Neurospora crassa OR74A: one gene and its partners. The protein of the gene in region 1 purifies or fractionates together with the protein of each later gene. This does not show direct contact. Links are inferred from orthologs where the notes say so. Each region holds a gene or a part of one and is shown in the gene's direction. Other genes may lie near its edges.

Region 1 (3,940 bases):
CAGGTTTGGCTCTAGGTACGGTACCTGAAGCCAGGAGGGGAGTGTGAAGAATGGTCCATAATTGGAGGCCTAGTTTGGAAGCATGAGGCGTGTGAGAACATGTCGCTAGGGACGAGGGAAAGTGGTTCAAGAATTCATACAATTTCAAAGGCTGAGAAGAGGATTAAAGGCACACAAATCATGTGGATGACTACATTAACGTGATTAGAGTGGTAAGCACCATACTGCAAGCAGGGAGAGGACAAGTTAGCAAAAGGCTCCAGTTCGTGAATTTCGAGCGAGGTGAAGTGGACGAAACAAGCAAGGGTGCCCGAGCAGGCCGACTTGGAGCATGTAGGTTAGAGCTTGGTAAACTCAGGCAACAAAGCTTACAAAGGTGAGTTGCTTTTCTAGGTTGAGGGACATGGTGAAAGTGATGCTTCGGATTTGCCCGGTATGATTAGGTTGGTGCTGTAGACAGCCTTGAGGTTCAGGGTGTGAATGGATGGCGAGATCTCGCTCAGTTCCGTGAGACCCGAGACAGGAGAGCGACAGTAGATGACAAGTCGAGTTGCGTCGAGGGCGACCAGTGAAGAGAGGAAATGAATCACTGCCACATGTGTATAAACGAGCAACAGGTGGAATTGGTAGTGTTCGAAAAGCAGAGCGTGCAGCTAATGAAGACCAGAGAGCGGCGGGATCTGGTGATGTGGGAGTCTGTCTGGTGTTCCACTCCGCATATCCATCTTCATATTCTCAGAGGGCTAAAAGCTACGTGTGGATGCCTCGGTTGTGGAGTCGCCATCAACAGGAACAAGGGAACCTGTTAAGGCTCCCGGCCGGCCCACCCCCGCAAACCCTCCAACTCGACGGCCACAGCGCTATCAAACGCATGCTGACAGGACCCGAACGTGCCCCGCCTCTGTCGGTGCTCCTACCGACGCGGTTACCTCTCGGTCAACGAACGTTAACGTCACAACCTAAAGTGGAAGGCCAACAGCTGTGGTGTAAGAAAGGTGATCAATCGTGAGTTACCCGTTTCAAGTCTTGTTTATGAGCGTTCTCATCTTTTGGCTTCTCGAACCACCATACTGTCTTTGCTGTGGCCATTCGAATCTTCCTTCTTAGACATCATTCGACAGTCTGTCTTTGTCACATGTTGAAACGGCATGAGCCATGGTACCTTTACTCGAGCTTACAGCTACATGAACGACTAAGGAACGCTGGGGGCTGGTAGAAGACACACTCCCTTAAGAAAAACCCGCTACATGATAGTACAGCAGATTATTTCACAAGCCTTACAACGAGCATCTTATGCCTGGTCTGGTTGAATGATATGATGGAATTGGGATATTTGGTGTTGAAGTTGTGGACAACACCGAATCCCGGCAGCGCCAAGACCGCTTCCGTGTGGTCAGTGCTGTTCCTTGCAGATTGTGCACGAGCCATGTGCTAAACGTCAAGGGACGAGTGACAGGCCAAGCTCGCAAGGCAAAGTCCCGAAACCGCGTCTGCGGCGGTCTCTGTGTTGGAGGCTACCACTTCCAGAACCTCCAAGCTTTTGTTCCATCATAGTCGATATCTAGTGTATTCCGTCAGCCTTGCTCTCCCGTCACGACGTCTCCCCACAAAACCAAGTATCACCTTCGACACGATCCCTACACCAACATTCTTGCTGTCGATTTTCGCATCTCGCCCTCACTGTCATTTTCGTCCCGACACGCGACTTCAATTGCCCAAGTCTCGACAGCACTGCCGCCGCCGTCGCACCCCTCGACACGACAGCCGCGCGAAGGCATCCCGAGGCGCATAACCTCTCCAGGGCATCGTCTTATCGACGCCCACTTTCAGCCGACGACACCCCGATCCCACAGTACTAACCCGCCACAATGTTTTTCCTCCATAACCTCGAGCGGCGGGTTACCCTGCATCCATCCTATTTCGGCAGGAACATGCACGAACTTGTCACGACCAAATTGGTCAAGGACGTGGAAGGGACGTGTGCCGGTGATTACTACATCATTGCCATCATGGATGCGTTCGACGTTAGCGAGGGCCGCATCCTCCCCGGAAACGGCCTGGCCGAGTTCACTGTGAAGTACCGTGCTGTGGTTTGGAGGCCGTTCAAAGGCGAAGTGGTTCGTTACAGCGAAGATTCTCGGTGGTGTTCTCTCCGTTCGGATGGTCTAACGAGGAGTCCCTACAGGTGGATGCTATTGTCTTTTCCATCAATCCTCACGGCTTCTTCTGCCAAGCTGGCCCGCTCTCCATCTTCGTTTCATCTCACGTACGATGACGCCTACGGTCTTTTTGGATACGCACATACGATGCCCTCGAACTTCGATCGCTGACAAGAGAACTATAGCTGATGCCCGAAGAAATCCACTTCGACCCCAACGCGACGCCTCCTCAGTTTACCAATAACGCTGATATGGTCATTGAGCCCGGTACGCACGTGCGCGTCAAGATTGGTGGCTTAAGAACGGAATTGGGTGAGATGTATGCCATTGGCAGCATCAACGGAGATTTCCTTGGGTGAGTTTCCACGTCTTAGCGGCGTGGTTGTGCTGTTTGTTATTAACCAGTTTCTTCCTTTCCAGGTGTCTGCAAGCATAAGGGACTTGCAAGATGCAAGAAGGTCATTCCCAAACGAAGGGTTTGGACTCGCTCAACTACTACGAGGTACTCGCTCAACAGAATCCTAGTGAAGCCACGAGTTAGAGTATACCCTGGGTTTACATCAACAGTTCTGGTCGGCTGATGAAGCCTCTGGCCCGGTCAAGAAGCAAGTCTTCTGGGCAATGCTGAAAGCCATCCGTATCGAGGGCCGTTTCAGGATCTCTGTGGCGGTTTATGAAGGATCATGTTTGCCCCTTAGCAGCGCGTGGGCGGCAATATGATCGAGCCCCTTGTTGTATTGCACGCGGGAGTGCGGCGGTAACACGCTCAAGGGCTTTCAAGGAGATGTCTCGTCCGAATGAGACTCAACGGGGTTGGTATTTTTGTCATGATTTGCTTGGGGTGCGTAAAACCTTTGTCTGTGGCGTTTTGAGGCATTATTGGGGCCACAAGCGGCGCCTGGAGTCTATTGACGGTTTTTTCTTTTTGAGGTATTTGCAGCATGCTTTCTGTGTTTGAGCGTGATTACTGGTATTTGGGTAACTGACATTATCGACGTATCTGCGACATGGAGGACATGTCGCTCTTAATACATGGGCACATGATGATGTCTTCAGAGTTTTGCGGGTACAATGCCTCAAGGTTCTCGGGTGCTTGGCTTAGACTGACCAACAAAAAACGACTGTCTGCGATACCACAGAGGGCATCTCGCGCGATTGTACTTAGAGGGAATAATCCTTGTTCAGCTAAGGTGCTCAGTTACCATGAGCAAAGACAGTATAAGAGACACCGCAGCACTCGCTTGGCTCATAAACTCGACTCCCCGGTCTATCTCCTGAACGTCTTGACTAGGAAGCATTCAGTCTCGGGCTATTATACCATGTGATGGTACCCAACGAGGTGGGATGTTGTGATGGCTCAGTTGCCGTGGGGGGAAACCTCCCATTTCAAGCTGACAACTTGGTGCGTGCCCATCTACGATCCTCCCGCAACATTTACAAGGACCTTGAAGCACCATATCTCAATGGTTCCATAATCTTCAACGAAGCGCGGGGGTTACGCAGCAGTGAAGACGTGGGGAAAAGAATAAAACGACAAGGGGGGAGGTTCATCCACTAAGTCGTCGAGTTGATACTATGCAGTAAACGTTTGGCCGGTGACCTGTCCATCGTGAGGCTACGATATCTCTTGACTTTGTGGAAGAATAGTATGGCCGAAATACGTCGGGCGAACTAGAGCAGAAGGGGGTAACAGTGGGGGCCAGATCGGTGTGAAGAAATCCCCAGAATGAAGTAAAGCGGAGGCGAGAAGTTGAATCGGGGTGTGGGCATCAAACACCAAA
Region 2 (3,123 bases), on another chromosome or scaffold:
CGTAAACCTTCTCGCCGCCACGGAGCCATTCGAGCCTGGTGGGGACAGTCGGTCTAGTCTTGTCCACCCGTAGCTCCTCCGTGTCTTCTTCGTCCAGAGTTGAGCTGTTACTCAAGTTGGAAGAGCGTCTGGTGAGCGCGGTGAAAGTGTCGGCATCCTCGAGTGGGACCCCAATGTCGGTCGGGGCAATGATAGGCGATCCGGGTGTGTGGACCTCTTCCTCGATCGGCAGAGGTAGTCGCGGCGGCCTGGTCAGGTACGAGACATCTTGCAGACTGCTCAGCTGCATAGCCGCAGTCTCAAAGGCATCCGATCTCTCTGATAGCGGTGATCGCACCGGCGACCTAGGTGAGCACGACGAGGCGTGGCAGGGTGTGGGCACGGCTACAGGTTTCGCGGGCTCATGACTGTCTTCGGGTCTCAGCTGTCTTACTTCGACAGGTTTGGTGGGGGTGGCAGAGCTGGTAGGCACCGACGAGCCCGGCGAGCCGCTCTGAGAAGGTGGCATTCGCGAGTGCAGCGACTTGGGACGAGCGGTGGTTGAGGGCGGCTGGACGGCGGTGCCCTGGGCCTGGGTCAAGGAGGGCTCAGGAGGGGCAGCGACTCGCTGATTTGGGACCGGTATAGGGTGCTTGGTATCGCGCTTCACTGCTCTGGCAGAGTCATTTTGGATGGAAGCCAGCGACTGGTGCTGAGACTGCGATTGAGAGGAGGAGGAGGAGGATTGCGGATTCGGGGTCTTGGAGTCTCTGGAGGTGGAGGGGTTGTTCCCCATTTTCCCTAGCTCGATCGCTGGCGCTGATGACGGGATGGGGTCGCCGTGGTGGTCGGGTCGGTCGAACGGGGTCGTCACAGGTGGTTCGCTGCTACCGCGGTCTGCTGCTGTTACTGCTACACCTGTTCAACAATGCGTCCACCGGGTGCAATCAATTCATCTTCCACTCTCCGGGGTAATTGGCCGAGTTCGGATAGAAGGTGGTTTGACAGTCGAGGGGCTTTGCATGCTACGCCAGCGCTGGTCGTGGCTGTGGTTGTGTGGTTTTTGGGAATTCGAACGACGTTGTCAGGTGTCGTGTCGTAATAGAGTTGGAGCAGGCAATATCGCAGCAAACTGGAAGATGTGATGATTCGAGTCGTGTCGAATCGAGGATGCGCGAAACAAGTGGAAGAAGTGGAAGTCGAGAGAATGACGGGTAGGTAGAGAGCTCAGTTCAGTTATCAGAGTATCACTGCAGCAGTTGACTGTCCTCCCTTGGGCCAAAAAGCACAGCTGCCATCCACCTGGTTGCTCGATAAGAAGCGGGCGACCACTGGCAACTGAATGGAACTCGGATGCAACGCCCCGGACTCGGCGAACAGAGTTGAACTGTGGATGAGTGTGAGACGGCGCCCAGCCCAACTGCACGGCAGTGTCTCCACTGTCCACCTCCAGGCATCGGCCCCAGCTTCCACTTCGGCCCCCACCTTTCCCACATTCTCTCCTGCTTCTCTAGCTCCTGGACCGTGCGCCCCTTGCATGTCAACTCCTGGCCCGCTGTGAGACCTGGAGCTTGCGCTGGCGCGACGCGGCAGGCAAGAGAGGCGGCCGATCTTCTTTCCAGAGAACAACTTATCGATGTTCACATGCATTCCTCTAAAGAACATCACCCTCCTTCGTCAAGTGTCCTTTTCCAGTTATTCATTCACTCGCTCAGCTATTCGTAGACGAGTGAGTTATCGGTTTCCGCCCCCAAAGTTACCAGTAACATCGCCATCCCTACACATCTCCCAAAAATGTCGGAGAACTACGTTGCCCCCGGCCAGCAGCGCTACCTTCGTGCCTGCATGGTCTGCTCTATCGTCATGACCTATGCTGTAAGTCGAGCTGCCCTTCCTCGTTTCTAGTCACTCTATGACCGACAAGTTTCTGACCTTTTTTGTTTTTGTCATAGCGCTTCCGTGACGAAGGATGCCCCAACTGCGAAGACTTCCTCCATCTCCAGGGCTCGCCGGATCAGATCGACAGCTGCACGTCGCAAGTCTTTGAAGGAATCATCACCATTGCCAACCCGCAGAAGTCGTGGGTGGCGAAGTGGCAGAGGCTGGACGGTTATGTGAAGGGTGTATACGCGACCAAGGTGTCGGGCCAGTTGCCGGATGACGTGCGCACCACGTTGGAGGATGACGGCATTCAGTATATCCCGTAAGTTTCCTGCTTACACTCGTGTGGTCTGGCGAAGCAGGCTATGATCGTGGGGTTTTCGGGGCACAGCCAGAAACTAACTTGGAGCAGGCGCGATGGCAGTGCGACGGAAGCGGACTAGAAACTCGAAGCTGCGGTGCAAGAAAACAAGACGGAATAGGGCGGATAAGAAAGCAGGAAAGAGAACCGACAAGCAAGAAGGAAGAGGGACCGATAATAGATCGTTCACAGACAACCCAGGAGCGGAATGCGGAATGCCTGTTAAAGGGAAGGCAACAGGAGTTCAAGGCGTTAAGGCTGGTTTAAAGGGCGTGGTCTAGACAGCAGGATAGTGGCCATTTTTTGGGTTTTGCATGATCAACCCAGGGCTATAATTACACACTGCAGCGAAATACAACAATCATACAAATGAGTTTATCACTACCTAACCTATATGGAAGATTATTCATCCAGCTACGGATCCCTTTTACGAAAACCCCAATGCAATATGGTATCTTTTTTTTAAACATTTCCCATCACGCCGAAAACGCCCCTATAACATGTACCGAAATATTGCCAAACCCGGAGATAGCATAACCTTTGACCAGTTACCCACGTGAGACTCCACAGTATGTTAAAACTGGAAGCGTGGCTTCTTGTTGGGAAAGTTCCCACCCTTCTCCTCGCGAGCCCTCTTGCGCTCCAACTCCTCCTTCATTATCCTCTCGGCCTCGCTCATCTTCTTGGGCGGAGCAGCCATAACCTTCTTGGGAGCCCCAGCAAACGCATTCTTGAAGACGTTCTTCGGTTGGGGCTTCATGCCGAACTTCATAGATACCGGCTTCGTGGCGGGAGCAGCGGCAGCAGCAGGACCAGCAGGACCAGCAGTCGAGTCAACCGCGGGTTTGCTTTCCTCTGCCGTCGTCTTGGCAGTGGCCTCTTCGCCCTTTGAACTTGCTTCC
Region 3 (4,107 bases), on another chromosome or scaffold:
GCTACACCAAGGAACCATAGCAAAGTGCACGGCAGGGCAAGCGGACGGATTTGGCAACATTTCCAGCAATAGTACCATCAGGCTTTGCCGGGCCATCAGCTATATAGATACCAGCCTCATTCGGTTGCTGCTGGCTGGCTGTCCCATTACGTCGTGTTCGCTTTGCTGTCAATGTTGCGCCCTGTCTGCGCCCGGGTTGCATGTAGTGTTTATGCGTTTCGCCCTGTTCCATGTCTCCTTGTTTATTTATTCCTTTGTCTTTTTGGTCCGAGGCGACGTGCTACGTATGGGAGGTCCTTCCAGAAAGGAGGGAGAGCATGGTTCAACGACGTTGCACACAAAGACAAGCCCGGCGGGTCCCTGACATATGAGATCAGATACAGCATATATCGAAGCCAGAAACCGTCAGAGACACTACATCCGCCGCAGTACCTTTTCCTAAAGGCAATGTATAAAGCTTGAAAAGTAACCAGTGCTTTATCAAGAGCGCCACGCAATTGCAGCAGTTTCGCATTCCGATGGAAGAGGGGGCACGATATGTGGTTGTTGTTCCACAGATGGCGATGGCCGCACAGGTTGGGACGGAAACGCCAGTACAATGCAGACCCTTTGGGCTCATATAGGTTGTCGGACGTCATCGGTGTTGAGACGTGAAATGACATGGAGGGTTGGGTTTAGCATATCCGGAACCTAGATCCTAAGCTTCCCCATCCGGATATCCCCAGACTCCCGCTTTGCTCGAGGCATTCTCTCTCTCCATCACGAGTCCACAGTGGACGAGACACTTGACACCAAGGCCGCCCAATTCCGGACCGTTCGCAATCTTAATTGAATCTGAAGACAAGCCTTCACCCATGTCGAATGGCTGAAAAAATCGCTGCCCAAGGCCGATACTTCCAACGGCAATGTCCATTGATGTGATGAAGTGATGAACTTTTTGCTGGTCGAATGGGAATTCCATGCCATTGCGCCGCCAATTGATGGTGGGGTCAGCATAGCCTTGCCAGCTGCCGAATGCCAATTGGTTTTCAGCTGCCGGGCCGTCGTGGGCTGCCGAGGCTGCCAAAAGCGAAACGCAGAAGTCTGTAGTCTGCGGCAGGCAAGACCAATGAGCACCGGCACAGTGCCGGACAGACCAGCCAAGGTGGACAAGCTCACGGTGGCACGGCCTCAGCTGGATTGCCTGCCACAAGCCGACTCCAGTGGACTGGACTTTTGAATGGCGATCTCTTTGACCATGCGCCGATACCAATTGGCAGTAGCGCCAGACGCCGCGAACGAACAATTCCCATTGCTACGCTCGTCCCCAGACTCTCAGAATTCTGACTGCAACTGGCACAACGCCGAGAAACAGCGACTCCCTCTCTGGTTCGGACCTGCGCGTCGTCTGCCCCAAACAGCTCCCTCTTGCGTCCACCGTCGTCGCCGACCCATCGATTCTCTCTTTGCCCCGGGCCATTATCCAACAGTCAACAACTGAATAATTGCTTCAGCCCATCTGAAGCGTGGCAGTTCGTCGCCTCCAACCCTCTCAGCATCCGAGTCGCCAGCCAGCGGTCCAGTCGCAGTTGAGCATGCTGTCGCAAAGATCAAGGAGCCAAGACAAGAACACCGCAACGGCAACGGAAGAATAACGGCACCAGCGACCGGCATCCTTTTCCTTCCCTTCCTCTCCAACGAAAGCACCACGAAGCACCACACGCTTTGCTTTAGCCGACTACACAGGTACTCGGCCACATCAACTTGCATCATTCTGCCGCTGAGACGAGACGTCACCTTCTTTTCAGCCCGTCGCTCGCTCCACTCTCACCTTCTCATGACCTTTGCGCCTAATCCTACCGACTCCGCCGACCGTCTCCTTTTCCCTAGGTTGCCTCCTCGATCTGCACCTTCTTAGTTTTTTCCTCGACTGCGACCTTCGTACAGCAAACGTGCGCCAAGTGCCCTCGACACACAGACACACAACCGAACCATTACTCACAGTCCCTTATTCGGGTGCGCGCAGGGCGACCCCAGCTGCTGCTGCATCCACCATGGAGGACGGCCATCACTCACCGGATTCGACCAAGGAATCAAAGTCGGAGGAACACTCCAAGATGAACGGCTCCAAGCTAAAACGGGATGGCGCCAGCAACGCCGGCAATGCGGCCACGCCAAACGGCTCCCAGACCGGAATCTCGAGACCCCCAAGCATGTCGCCCGACGAGCACAAGGCTGCGAGTGAGAGCACAGCAACTCCCAGCGAAAATGTCCCGACACAAAAGCCTTCGCGAAAGGCGTCTCAGAAGAACATGAAGAGGGAACCGGTGCTCTTCAACCATCTCCCCGACGTGAGGGAAGAGGCATGCACACATTTCCAGGTCATTCATGACTGTCTCTATGGCTCAAAGAACATGGGTGCATCCGAGCACGATGCGTTGGATTGTGACTGTGCGGAAGAATGGCGTAAGTGAAAATATCTTCGGCGTCCCCTTGCCGCTAGCGTCATGTCCCCTCCGGCCCGCCCGCCCGCCGACACCCCCCCTTAACCGAATACTGACACCTGGCTCATCGTATAGGCGGTGATATGAACCATGCGTGCGGGGAAGATTCAGACTGTATTAATCGGGCCACGAAAATGGAGTGCGTTGACGGCGATTGCAACTGTGGTAGCGGATGCCAGAACCAGCGCTTTCAGCGAAAACAGTACGCCGACGTATCGGTCATCAAGACGGAAAAGAAGGGGTTCGGCCTCCGGGCAAACACGGATTTGCAAGTTAACGACTTCATTTTCGAGTACATTGGCGAGGTCATCAACGAGCCGACATTTCGCAGCCGCATGGTCAAATACGACAAGGAGGGCATCAAGCACTTCTATTTCATGTCACTAACCAAATCCGAGTTTGTTGATGCCACTAAGAAGGGCAACCTCGGCAGGTTCTGCAACCATTCGTGCGATCCTAATTGCTACGTCGACAAGTGGGTGGTTGGTGACAAGCTGCGCATGGGCATTTTTGCGGGGCGCGCAATCAAGGCTGGTGAGGAACTGGTGTTCAACTACAACGTGGACCGCTATGGCGCCGACCCGCAGCCTTGCTACTGCGGTGAACCAAACTGCACCGGTTTCATTGGCGGCAAAACGCAAACAGAGCGTGCAACCAAACTGCCGCCTGCCACCATCGAGGCGCTTGGTATCGAAGATGGAGACAGCTGGGACACGGCGGTGGCGGCCACCGTCAAGAAGCCCCGCAAGAAGAAGGCTACCGAGGACGATGAAGAGTACATCAACCGCTTCGAGCCTCGTGGCCTCGATGAAGAGGGTGTCACCAAGGTCATGGCCACGCTCATGCAGTGCAAGGAGAAATGGATTGCCGTCAAGCTGCTCGGCCGCCTTCAGAATGCCGACGATGACCATGTCCGGAACCGGGTTGTTAAGATGCACGGATACCAGATTTTGAAGACAACCCTCAACACCTTTAAGGAAGACACCAATGTCGTACTGCAGATTCTCGATATCCTGTACCAACTCCCCCGCATCACCAAGAACAAGATTACCGATTCCAACATCGAAGCCGCCGTCGAGCCCCTCACCCATTCCGACCATGAGGATGTCGCGTCGCAGTCCAAACGATTGCTTCAGGAATGGAGCAAATTGGAGACAGCCTATCGCATCCCGCGCAAGAAGCTCGACCCCTCCGCTCCCGTAACCACAAATTCGTTTGAGGATGACCGCCGCAACGTCAATCATGAGGAGCATCCCTCAAGACCTGTCAATCCGTTCGAGAACATGGTTGTGCCCACGGGTCCCCGCAGCAACATTCCCCAACGGAACATGAACTACTTCAACAACCAGAGACCACGCAAGCTTCCAACGAATCTTCCTGCAGGATGGTTTGTCACCACTGACAGCACAGGCAAATACTACTTTTACGACAAGAGCGGCCATACCCAGTGGCAGCGACCTACAACGCCTGCTGTCGACGTGCCCAAGCCCTCTGCCAAGGTGGAACAAAACCAAAAGGCTCTGCAGGATATCATCGACAGTTTGACCAAGGAGCCGACGCCCCGCCATTCTGCGAACCAAACCCCTAAATCTAACACACCCGTGCCAGACAATGGTAAGAAGGA
Region 4 (4,129 bases), on another chromosome or scaffold:
CGAAAAGGCCACAAAGGAGAAAGGAGAGAAAGCCGACAAGTCATCGGCCCAACAGGCGCTTCGTTCAAAGGGCCCCCCGCCGCCGCCCAAACAACCTGATTATTCGGCCATCGTATTCGAGTTTGCGGGAGGAAACGGTGATCGGTACCTCTTTCCGAAGTTCAGCATTCTGGATTATCAGACTATTCCCAGTAGCAGCGCTAGCAGTACCCAAGGACAGCAACAACAACAACAGCAGCAACAGCAGGTGGTGGCGTCATTCCTTATCATCAGGAGGGGAAGCAAAGCAGTATATCCGATGGCGGACCCGGAGCTTGATTACTACCAGCCCATAACTATAAGGTTGTTTACGGCGGCTCCCAGTGGCAAACATGTGCTGGATAATTTGGCAAGAGTAGTGGCGCCGGAGGAAGAGGTCAAGAGGTACATGGACGATATCATGGATACCATGCAACGAAGCGAATACGTTCTACTGGCCATGAGGCTGCCCAGACCCACCGAGACGGCAGAGAACGGCGAAGGAGAAGGAGATAAGGCGCAGGACGGGGCCGGCGCGGCCGGGTCTGGAAAGGGACAACACGCGAAGGAGAAAGACAAGGACAAGGAGGTGGTGATGATTGATGCTCCATCAAGAGCGGAGGAAGCGGCGGCGGCGGAACTGAAAGCGCCAAAGGCGGCAAGGACGGGGGGAGTGTTGTGGACGACGGCAAACAAGCAGATACCCAAGCCGGAGATTAGGGAGCTTCCACCGAGGCGGAATGCTAGAATCATGATGGAGACCGCGGAAGATGAGCAGTATCAGAGCTTCATTCAGACGGTCACCCGGAAGGATAAGGAGGTGGTCAGGTGATTGTTTTTTTCCTGGAGGAGCGCTGTATCATGTAGATAGTTTTGTCTGTCTGTCTCTGCCAGGAGTTGACTTTTACTTGGCCGTGTTTACTAGGTATGAAAGGTTGCCTAGTAATGGTGTTGACAAGGGCAAACGAAAGGGAGGTTATCACGGTGCAGCGCTCTCTTCTACATACTCTATCAGCTGAAAGTACTTGTACTTCAGCCACGTGCGCAAATGAATAGACGATGAGGTATCTCTACCTACCTAGGTACCCGTCCTGGACTGCAAGGTCCTGGTCGAATGTAACCTGAACAAAAGGAACCTCTTGCCGGCCGGAGACCTGACCTTGGCCGCGAATAGCCTAGCGGCTTATTCCAGTGCTTGGCAGCAGCAGCAGCACACTCCCCTGCCGTCCAGTGTCCTCAACCAACCGGGGGTGGAGGTGTGACCGTCCGTGCTTCCAAGTCCACCCACTCACTGTCCAGTTGTGGGCCGTGCAGCTCTCTTTCCGCCTCACGACCCGCGGTGCTGCTGCTGCAAGTCTGCAACTGAACACTCACAGCGAGTCGACGCCTCAAAAGTCGGTCCATTTCCCACCACATCATCCATCGGCTCGAGGCCAGCCAATCTTCCTTTTCTCACCTACAAATATAATCCCACATCTCGCGACCTACGGCCATCTCTCCCTTCCTCTCTCCTTTTCCATCTCTCGCCCACACCTCGACACAACGCGCGACCGCCGGTAGTACGACTGTACGACACCCCTGTCGCTCGCCGCTCTCTTTCAGATAAATTATTCAGAATGGCGTCAAACAGCTGGCAGTTCGCCGGCGCCGACGACGAGTCCGACGATGACAACTTCAACCCCGCCCCCGCCGACATGTCGGACGAGGAGAACAACGACAACGACGAAGAGACCACGCACAACCACCGCCCCGCTGGTAAGACCGTGAGGCAGGCTAGTAGCCCGGTACCAGACGAAGAAGAGGAAGAGGAGGAACATGACGAAGAGGAAGACGCGCGCCCGGCCAAGCGATCGCGTCGAGATCACCACGACGATGACGAGGATGAAGAGCAAGATGAAGAGGAGAACGAGGAGATAGATGAGGAGGAAGAGGAGGACGAAGAGGAAGAGGAAGATGAGGAAGACGAGGATGATGTTCATGGTGTAAGTCCGGATCCCAATAATGTCCCTCCACACTTCAATTCTGCAGCACCATCCCATCCACACTTGCCAGAAAAAAACAACAAAAGACAAGTCCCGGTGCAGATGACCCGCCAAACCTACCCGTGTCGCCACATCGGGGACCTAGCTAACCCGCTGTCTTTTGTCCGCAGGGCAATCGTCGCAAGCGTCGCAACAAGGACCGTAGAGCTGCCTTCTTCGATATCGAAGCCGAAGTTGACGACGAAGACGAGGGAGAAGACGAAGTCGGCGACGGTGAAGAGATAGAGGACTTCATCGACAATGCCCACCCTGACGATATTGCCGACAGCGGCCGCCTTAACGATGACAGAAGACACCGCGAGCTCGACCGCCGCCGAGAGATGGAGGCCAGCCTCGACGCTGAGAAACAGGCAGAGATCCTGCGTGAGCGCTACGGCAAGCGCGCCCCGGCTAGAGGTTACGGAGACATGGCCATTGTGCCCCGTCGCTTGCTTCTTCCCAGTGTCGAGGACCCCAGCATTTGGGCCGTCAGGTGTAAAGAAGGAAAGGAGCGTGAGGTCATCTTCTCGATTATGCGTCGTATCGAAGAGCGAATGGGCACCAAGAACGAGGTCCCCATCACGGCTGCTTTCGAACGTGGTGGTATCAACTCGGTCATGAAGGGATACATCTACGTTGAGGCTCAAAGACAGAACGATATTCTCGTGGCTCTCGATGGCATTCTCAACGTTTATCCCAGGAGCAACATGCACCTCGTCGAGATCAAGGACATGCCCGACCTCCTGCGTGTCATCAAGACGCCTAACCTGGAGCCCGGCGCTTGGGTTCGTCTCAAGAAGCCGGCCAAGCACGCCGGTGATCTTGCTCAGGTTATCGACGTTACAGAAAACGGCCTCGAGGCCAGAGTCCGTTTCATTCCCAGACTCGACTACGGTGTCAGGGATGACCCCGTCTTCCAGGCCGATGGCAAGCGCAAGCGCCCCGGTGTGCCCGGCCCTCGTCCTCCCCAGCGTCTGTTCAGTGAAGCCGAGGCGCGCAAGAGACACCCCCGTTACCTCCAGGGGAACCCGCAGACCAACAGCTGGAACTACAACGGCGATGATTTCGAGAACGGTTTCCAGGTGAAAGACATCAAGATCCAGCAGCTCGAGGTCAAGAATGTCAACCCTACGTTGGAGGAGGTTACCAAGTTCGCCAGTGGAGCCGAGGACGGTACAGAGAACCTCGATCTTAAGGCTCTTGCTGCTACTCTCAAGGATAGCGCTAAGAGTGTTGCGTACGTCCCTGGTGATATTATCGAGGTGTATGAGGGCGAGCAGCAGGGTGTCATCGGCAAGGCCACCAATGTTCAAGGCGACATCGTCACATTGCAGGTTACCGAGGGTGATCTTGCTGGCCGGACCATCGACGTCCCCAACAAGGGTCTGCGCAAGAGGTTCAGGATTGGTGACCACGTCAAGGTCATTGGTGGCAGCCGGTTCCGTGACGAAGTTGGTATGGTTGTCAAGATCGTGGACGACAGAGTCACCCTCCTCACAGACCAGACCAACACGGAGATCACCGTGTTCAGCAAAGACCTCCGTGAGGCATCTGATATTGGTGGCCAAGGCTCTCTTGGACAGTACTCCCTCTTGGATCTTGTGCAGTTGGATGCCACGACTGTCGGCTGCATCGTTAAGGTTGATCGCGAGTCAGTCGTGGTGCTAGACCAGAACGGCGATACCAAACAGGTCCAGCCGTCGCAAATCACCAACAAGCTCCCCAAGAGGAAGTTCGCTGTGGCTGCTGACCGCAACGGCTCCGAAATCAGGCTGGACGACGTGGTCCGTGAATATGGTGGCCAGCAACGCCAGGGCAAGATCATTCACATTCATCGCTCTTACATTTTCCTTCACACCACGACCACCAACGAGAATGCTGGTGTTTTCGTCACTCGGGCTAACAGCGTCACCACGGTCGCGGCCAAGGGTGGTCGCAACACTGCTACTGCGGGCCCAGATCTCAGTGCGATGAACCCAGCCCTGAAGCGGAACCCCACTGCTAGCGGCAAGCAAATGCCAGCTCCGCGAACCTTCGGACCTGATCGGGCCATTAACCAAACCGTGGTTATTAGACGCGGTGGTTACAAG

The links.
Region 2: the proteins of NCU02661 (region 1) and NCU03838 purify together in Saccharomyces cerevisiae (affinity purification with mass spectrometry; 4 studies listed by BioGRID, with this or other methods). This does not show direct contact. The link is inferred for Neurospora crassa OR74A from reciprocal best matches to the Saccharomyces cerevisiae genes RPB7 and SPT4.
Region 3: the proteins of NCU02661 (region 1) and set-2 purify together in Saccharomyces cerevisiae (affinity purification with mass spectrometry; 3 studies listed by BioGRID, with this or other methods). This does not show direct contact. The link is inferred for Neurospora crassa OR74A from reciprocal best matches to the Saccharomyces cerevisiae genes RPB7 and SET2.
Region 4: the proteins of NCU02661 (region 1) and NCU06929 purify together in Saccharomyces cerevisiae (affinity purification with mass spectrometry; 8 studies listed by BioGRID, with this or other methods). This does not show direct contact. The link is inferred for Neurospora crassa OR74A from reciprocal best matches to the Saccharomyces cerevisiae genes RPB7 and SPT5.

What each region holds. Positions count from the first base shown.
Region 1 is NC_026501.1:3,099,607-3,103,546, forward strand, and holds NCU02661 (DNA-directed RNA polymerase II polypeptide), read left to right. Parts: upstream 1-1,295; 5' UTR 1,296-1,868; coding exon 1,869-2,117; intron 2,118-2,185; coding exon 2,186-2,266; intron 2,267-2,344; coding exon 2,345-2,514; intron 2,515-2,579; coding exon 2,580-2,595; 3' UTR 2,596-3,440; downstream 3,441-3,940. Other genes in the region: NCU02660 (DUF962 domain-containing protein), read right to left, coding at 1-69, 141-224, 373-405. UniProt on the Saccharomyces cerevisiae protein: DNA-dependent RNA polymerase catalyzes the transcription of DNA into RNA using the four ribonucleoside triphosphates as substrates. Component of RNA polymerase II which synthesizes mRNA precursors and many functional non-coding RNAs.
Region 2 is NC_026505.1:2,571,786-2,574,908, forward strand, and holds NCU03838 (transcription elongation factor spt-4), read left to right. Parts: upstream 1-1,430; 5' UTR 1,431-1,773; coding exon 1,774-1,854; intron 1,855-1,931; coding exon 1,932-2,182; intron 2,183-2,272; coding exon 2,273-2,303; 3' UTR 2,304-2,623; downstream 2,624-3,123. Other genes in the region: NCU03837 (Snf1 kinase complex beta-subunit Gal83), read right to left, coding at 1-775; NCU03839 (APF1), read right to left, coding at 2,796-3,123.
Region 3 is NC_026503.1:3,235,166-3,239,272, forward strand, and holds the start of set-2 (histone-lysine N-methyltransferase), read left to right. Parts: upstream 1-1,307; 5' UTR 1,308-2,033; coding exon 2,034-2,445; intron 2,446-2,558; coding exon 2,559-4,107. UniProt on the Saccharomyces cerevisiae protein: Histone methyltransferase that trimethylates histone H3 'Lys-36' forming H3K36me3. Involved in transcription elongation as well as in transcription repression.
Region 4 is NC_026507.1:793,417-797,545, forward strand, and holds the start of NCU06929 (transcription elongation factor spt-5), read left to right. Parts: upstream 1-1,329; 5' UTR 1,330-1,634; coding exon 1,635-2,000; intron 2,001-2,170; coding exon 2,171-4,129. Other genes in the region: NCU06928 (hypothetical protein), read left to right, coding at 1-850. UniProt on the Saccharomyces cerevisiae protein: The SPT4-SPT5 complex mediates both activation and inhibition of transcription elongation, and plays a role in pre-mRNA processing.